Linked DNA regions of Xenopus tropicalis. The protein of the gene in region 1 purifies or fractionates together with the protein of each later gene. This does not show direct contact. Links are inferred from orthologs where the notes say so. Each region holds a gene or a part of one and is shown on either strand. Other genes may lie near its edges. The genes, in order: eif3d and eif3h.

Region 1 (3,826 bases):
GGCGGAGCCAAAAATGACCAACACCTGCAGAACTTTGCATCCAAAGCATTTGTGAGATGCTGCAAAAAAAAAAAAAAAAAGTGTAGAAAAGAGGGCCAAACGAATGCCAGAGCTGATATTTGGTTCCTGAAGGCCCATGAAGTACTCCAGACCTGGTCCTAACCTTGGCACTTAGAAAAAACTGAGCTGTACTGTAGGATATGGCTTGAGAAGGAGGAGCCATTTTTGTTCCTTAACAGTAACACCAAAATATGAAAGTGTTTTAAAGTAATTAAAATATAATGTACTGTGGCCCTGCACTGGTAAAACTGGTGTATTTGCTACAGAAACGCTCCTATAGTTTATATAAATAAGCTGCTGTGTAGCCATGGGGGCAGCCATTCAAGCTGGAAAAAAGGAGAAAAGGCACAGGCTACATAGCAGATAACAGATAAACTCTGTAGAATACAATGGCATTTTATCTGTTATCTGCTAAGTAACCTGTGCCTTTTCTCATTCGAATGGCTGCCCCCATGGCTACACAGCAGCTTTGCTTATATAAACTATAATAGTCTTTCTGAGGCAAACACACCAGTTATACAGTGCAGGGTAACAGTGCATTATATTGTAATTACTTTAATACGCTTTCATATTTTGATGTTACTGTTCCTTTAATGTCCTGCCTCATACAGGTGGAAGCTATACCTACAGTCCCTATGTCCCCCAAAGCTATAGTGAGAGTAACTGGGTCCAAAAAAGCACCATTATAAATTCTCACATACATATGAGACACACTTGGCACCCAAATTCCCAACATAATAATACACCCTAGTACAGCCTGCCTATTGAGTGATACCAACTATTTCCAGCCAACTAACTACAAGTAGATTTAATCATACTATGAACAAGAGAACATTATGGGTAGCATATAAAACATAGGTGCTCAGTGACACCAGTGCATTTGCTCATACAGCCAATCAGATGTATGCTTTCATTTTCTGCTAACTATTAAAAGTAAATTGCAGACTGCTTGCCATGGGCCTTTGCTGTTAAGAAATTTTATCGCCAATGTTAGTAACTGAGGCTTCACTGTCTATAGGCTTCTATATGCCTATATTCTATATGAGGCTTCTATAGTCAAAGCACTCACCATGCGAAGGCATTGCTGGGAGAAATTGTGGTTGATGTAAGTGGCCTCCATGGCCAGATTCCGTGGGGAGTTTAAGGAGTTCACGTCATCCTGAGGGGGCTCATTGGCAGTTTCGCTCACGGTGAGCAAATCTAGAGAAGGACATAAAAATTAAGCAGCGTGCCAAGAAAAACACAAGAGAACTAAACACACAAAATCATGTACAGAAGCACTTTTCATTGCATGCCAATCAAATCATGGCTTTTATATCTATACAATCTAATCAAGACAGTATTACATAAGTAGAGTAGGAAAAGGAGTTTTAGGGCTATAAATAGTGCACACAGGGCATTTTTCATGCCACTATTTATCCTGGCTCACTTCCAACAAAATATCCAACGGATCAGGCCACAGCCAATAAGTTTAATTTCACTTAATTAACAACTGTAGTTACAAGTGCCTCTTACCTTTGTGTACAAAGTGAAGCAACTTGTGCTAATCCCTAACTTTGCCTTTTTAACGTTATCTTTCCACAAGAAAAGTTACCTTGATCAGCCCCATTTTCCATTTGCATAAGTCCATATCAGAGATTTAGACTTTACTAAGATAAACTATGTAATTTGTTATCTGTCTATGGAAACAACTGCAATATAACATTATGTTAAGGTTGCAGTTGTTTGTGCATTTTACACAGTCATTCAATATGTATCACTATATAGAACACTAATGGACCTAGGTGGAGCAGGCGGCAAACTATATTTAAGGGTGTCAGGTTACACATCTAGACCACCAGGTTCAGCCATTTGCTGTAAAATATTTGAACACAGAACATTCTCAGACAATACTAATCTACAGGCTACCTTAAGCCCAATAATAGTGAAGTTAAAAAAGATATTCTATCTATAAAGCTTACTGCATTTGTGACACAGCAACCCTAAGGCTGTGAGGATACACAAGTTTGAATCTGCCCTCTAGGGCTTTACCTATCTCATAATGGCCATGGCGACAGTGCACAAGGAGCTCTGGGCTTCTGGAGGGCTTGCTAGCCATTCTCCAGTACTGATCAGTATGCTCAGTGATGTGATTATATAAAGCTAACAAGGGGAAGCTTCAGAGGCATGCATCTGGACTCTCAGCTCCCCTTCGTACCTCCAAGCTACTATATTAGGGTTTGAGGCTTTGGTTGCTACAGAGCTCACAAAGCTTAGACTGGTGCCACCTTTTGCCTACTCACCAAAGTCTGAGTTGTCTCTCTTGTCAAAGAAGATCTTCGACCCCACCCTTTGGACCACAATGTCCCAAGAATTGACTGAACGTGTGCAACACATAAGCGTGGCAAGTATAGCATCAGTAGCAAAGACATTGCCCTGAGTTTTAGCCAACTATGGAGAAAGAATACAAGAAAAGTTATTAGGTGTCAATACATCACAAGGTTTAATTTGTAGAAAAAAAGTCCAAGCAAAATGGTACCTCACCTTCCGAATAACAGGATCATCAGTGGTAGTCACTGTGTGAAATATTCTTTTAATACTCTTCAAAGGTCTCTCATTTCTGGTGGTAATGCGATCGAATGCTTTGTCATAGAATTCCAAGGCCCCACAGCACTCTCTGGCATGAGGAATGAGAAGATTTAAAATACTTGCCTAGATACATTATTTCCAAGAAATAATTAGCATTTTATGTAGGTTAGCATGCAATATTAATATTGCATTTAGGCCGCCGCCTACAGAGCAGCACGATGGTGAAACTGACACAGTTCTTGTGAGTTCTGTATATAATGCCTCAGCACAGAAACCTTCTGAAACTGCCTACAAAAGTACAATAAATAAGGAAATTAATGTGGCTTTGCATTATTAAAGAAACACTAACACCAATATGAAAGCACTTTAAAGTAATTAAAACGTAACGCACTGTTGCGCTGCACTGGTAACACTGATCTGTTTCCTTTAGAAACGCTACTACAGTTTATATACACACTCTGCTATGTAGCCATGGGGGCAGCCATTCAAGCTGGGAATAAAAGGAGAAAAGGTGCAGGTTACATGGTAGAAACCAGATAAAACACCTTTTTTTTTACGTATTTTACAGGGCTTATCTGCTACATCACCTGTGCCTTCTCCTTTCTCCAGCTTGAAAGGCTGCCCCCATGGATACACAGCAGGGTATTTATATAAACTACAGTAGGGTTTTTTAAGCAAACACACAACTTTTACCAGTGCAGGGCAACAGTACATTCTTTTTTTTTTTCATTACTTTGATACATTTTCATTTCTTGGTGTTACTGTTCCTTTAAAGTGGAAGACATAAGAATACATTTTAGTATCTAGGTTCTTAAAAGAAATATGAGCAAAGGGTGGGCGTGGAATCCGTATTCTAGTCAATGGCCCTAACAAGCAGAAACGATTTCACTTCGAAAAATGAAAACCCAATTAATACAAATCCAGCAAAAAAGATAAGTTGCAAAGCTGCTTAGGATACTGCCATCTAAAAGACACTACAATTAAAATAAAATTCCCTGTTAATGACAGGTTTGTTGAAAGAAAAGTGAGGCAAGGAATAAATCACAGTCATCACTCACATGTCTAATGGATCAGACACCTCCATGTATCGCATTTTCATCAGCCGTGGGAAGTCCATCTCCTCCTTTACCTCCCAGTCACTCCGCACCTCTACAGAGGAATCACGAGGTTTCAACTGGGCCTGCAAAAAAGGAATACG
Region 2 (3,826 bases), on another chromosome or scaffold:
AAAGCATCCGCTATTTCCGAGAAGGGAGGAGGTCTGCTTGTGCCATAGATATACAGCAGCATGCAGGGAGTATGTGCTACATATACAGGCACCCCCTTGTGCCCTCACCTTTCCCATGGCTTATCTCTGCCTATGGGCGTCAGGCCTCGCGCTGTATCGCTCTCTCTTGGAGCTGTGTGGCCATAGTGTCTGTGATTTGCCATGCACGGAAGGCATGCAGTGTGCCGGGGAGCAGTGCAGTCTGCATGCTAATAAGCTCAGCATTGAAATTTTTCAGCAGGCAGCCTTATCGCTTGCAGTAGTAGCAGCAGCAGACAAGAGGCAAATACATTAACTAATTGTCTCTTTGCATAGCATGGCCCCCTAGCATTACATACCTCCTGCTTTGTGTGAGTCCTCTGCTATTCCTCCTTTATTTCCTAAATGGGAATATTAAGAGGTCAGGTTTTCTTTAACCTATCATCTATTTAGGTGTTACTGACTCTGCATGCAAAGTACACTGCCTAAACAAGCTCATATGTAAAACCCTGCTTCATCTAAATAAACCATTTCAATATAAATATACTTTTTTTTAGTAGTATGTGCTATTGGGTAATCCTAAATAGGAAACTGCCATTTTAAGAATTAAGGGCCGTCCCCTGGGATCATAGGATTCACAGTGCACACAAACAAGCCAAGGCACACATACATGCTAGGCCCCATCAGCCAATGAATGGGCAGAGTTCTGCCTTTTGCTCCCACACTACTTCCTGTTACAGTTAGAGCTGCATCACTTCCTGTCAGCTGATCTCTGAGGGAGCACACAGCCCATCACTAAATGGCGGCTCAAGGGAAAGGATGTAAAAGAGCAATATTTAGTGATACTGTTTATATAGTTTATATTATCTGTTGGTTAAGTGTTCATTCTGGGGGTATAGTTTTTCTTTAAGCTGCCTGGCAACTGCATTCTGTATAACGGCTTACTTCCCATAGCCCTCCTGTTTTATAATTGTCTCACAAGAAGTTAGCAGGGGTCTCAACCTATAGGGATCTGGATTATGTTGTCCACCTATTACACAGAGCATTGGCTGACCAGATCTTTGTAACACTAATATTTTTTCCATTTAAACGTTTCAGCTTCAGATTTCCTATACACCTTCAAGGGTCTGTATAAAATGGATAGTTCATTTTACTGGTGTGTCCTTATTGTTTTTTATGTCTGTAAGTAAGGTAACACGGGACATAAATGTGCTGAGAGTGAAGCAGTTGTGCAGTACAGACTTTGGAGCTTCTGCAATCTTTAAGCAATGCTGTATCTTCTGTAATAGAACAGGTCTGAATTATTTAGTTACGGCAGCAAGTAAAGGCACCTCTAAAAATTTCTCTCCGCTTATAGTGCCTAGCTGTTACAGAAATGATGCACCGCTTACCTCCCCTGTACATTATATCTTCTTGACATTGTAAGTAGGTACAGGTATAGGACCCAGAATGCTCGGGACCAACGCTATTCCAGATAAGTGATCTTTCCGTAAATTGGATCTTCAAGTCTATTAAAAAATCAATAAAACATCAATTATACCCAATAGGATTATTATGCATCCAGTAAGGATTAATTATATCTTAGTTGGGATCAAGTACAGGTACTGTTTTATTATTACAGAGAAAAGGGAATCATTTAACCATTAAATAAACCCAATAGGGCTGTTCTGCCCCAATAAGAGGTAATTATATCTTAGTTGGGATCAAGTACAGGTACTGTTTTATTATTACAGAGAAAAGGGAATCATTTAACCATGAAATAAACCCAATAGGGCTGTTCTGCCCCAATAAGGGGTAATTATATCTTAGTTGGGATCAAGTACAGGTACTGTTTTATTATTACAGAGAAAAGGGAATCATTTAACCATGAAATAAACCCAATAGGGCTGTTCTGCCCCCAATAAGGGGTAATTATATCTTAGTTGGGATCAAGTACAGGTACTGTTTTATTATTACAGAGAAAAGGGAAGCATTTAACCATTAAATAAACCCAATAGGGCTGTTCTGCCCCAATAAGGGGGTAATTATATCTTAGTTGGGATCAAGTACAGGTACTGTTTTATTATTACAGAGAAAAGGGGAATCATTTAACCATTAAATAAACCCAATAGGACTACTATAATTACCTCTTATTGGTGGCAAAACAATCACTATTAGTGGGGATCACTCACTCCCTTCGTAAGTAGTCCTTGGTCCCCACAAGACAGTCACATTTTCAGTTACTGGGAAATGACCATTATTAAAGGAGAATGCAAGTCAAGATTTAAAAAGCATACTGCCCAATAGTCCTCCTATTGTTTAGTAAAACGCCACACTTTTGTGAACAGTCCTATTGGGTTTATTTAATGTTTCAATTATTTTTTAGTAGAAAGGTATAAAAATCCAAATTATGAAAAAATCTGTAAAACCCCTGAAGATTCTGAAAAACAGGCCCCATACCTGTACATTTATCCCTTTAGATTTCCAGTGGACTCTTTCAAAGGAAATAACAGCTTGAGGGTCAGTGTTAATTAGATCAAAATAAAATTATTTTATCCCTTATGCCTTATAGAAAGTGAGTGTATGCAGAGTAGGTTGGGCCCAGAGAAACCATGTCCCAACTTTTATGTTGGGCCTTACTGCTTTTGTACTTTGGGGAGGTAAGTTAAGGTTGCAGCGGGCACCAATTTAGGAGGCAGAGTGCATGTATTTTTTTTTTAAACTTGTGTTTAGTTTTTGTAAATGATGAAATAAAAATCTGTTTATGAAAATAGCATTGACATTGAATCTCCTTCTGTAGATCCCATCAAAACCGGCCAGGGCTCCCTCTCGCTGAAGGCTTATCGGCTGACACCCAAACTGATGGAAGTCTGCAAGGAAAAAGACTTCTCGGCTGAAGGGTACGTGAATGAACAGTGTGTGGAACTTGGCAGCTTGCTTGTTTCCCGGATTGGGAAGGTGTGAGGAACACGGCAGAGAACATGTTGTCCAGTCATTTAAGGCAAAGAGATTACTAGAATGAGAAATCAGAAAATGTGAGCGCGTGAATTGCTCGCTGTGTCTCCGGCGTGTTCCATAAATTCCTGACGCTCCAATCATGCGATTGTGTAGCTCCAAGGGCTGCATCTTCCTCTTGCTTTGGGTGGATAGGCGCTCTTGCAGTGTCTCATTAAAGAGAAATTAGAGTGCTCGGTAACAGCTGCACCTTTGTGAGACAGTGTGTGCGTTATCCGCAGATACGTGTGCTCTGTATCGCACATGGATTGCTTGGGGTCACCTCATGAGCAATGGGGGCATAGCATTTTAAAAGATGGAAATTTGGTGCTTGAAGCATCACTACTTCATTTTGTTTTACCCAAATAGTTTGTTCTATATACAGGTATAGGACCCGTTATCCAGAATGCTCGGGACTAAGGGTATTCCGGATAAGGGGTCTGTGTAATTTGGATCCCCCATACCTTGATACTACAAAATCAATAAAACATTAATTAAACCAAATAGGATTGTTTTGCCTCCAGTAAGGATTAATTATATCTTAGTTGGGATCAAGTACAGGTACTGTTTTATTATTACAGAGAAAAGGGAATCATTTAACCATGAAATAAACCCAATAGGGCTGTTCTGCCCCCAATAAGGGGTAATTATATCTTAGTTGGGATCAAGTACAGGTACTGTTTTATTATTACAGAGAAAAGGGAATCATTTAACCATTAAATAAACCCAATAGGGCTGTTCTGCCCCAATAAGGGGTAATTATATCTTAGTTGGGATCAAGTACAGGTACTGTTTTATTATTACAGAGAAAAGGGAATCATTTAACCATTAAATA

The links.
Region 2: the proteins of eif3d (region 1) and eif3h purify together in Homo sapiens (affinity purification with mass spectrometry; 10 studies listed by BioGRID and IntAct, counting the BioPlex papers as one, with this or other methods). This does not show direct contact. The link is inferred for Xenopus tropicalis from reciprocal best matches to the Homo sapiens genes EIF3D and EIF3H.

What each region holds. Positions count from the first base shown.
Region 1 is NC_030680.2:123,536,089-123,539,914, reverse strand, and holds part of eif3d (eukaryotic translation initiation factor 3 subunit D), read right to left. Parts: intron 3,809-3,826; coding exon 3,687-3,808; intron 2,717-3,686; coding exon 2,584-2,716; intron 2,491-2,583; coding exon 2,343-2,490; intron 1,261-2,342; coding exon 1,130-1,260; intron 1-1,129. UniProt on the Homo sapiens protein: mRNA cap-binding component of the eukaryotic translation initiation factor 3 (eIF-3) complex, a complex required for several steps in the initiation of protein synthesis of a specialized repertoire of mRNAs.
Region 2 is NC_030682.2:136,703,831-136,707,656, reverse strand, and holds part of eif3h (eukaryotic translation initiation factor 3 subunit H), read left to right. Parts: intron 1-2,797; coding exon 2,798-2,897; intron 2,898-3,826.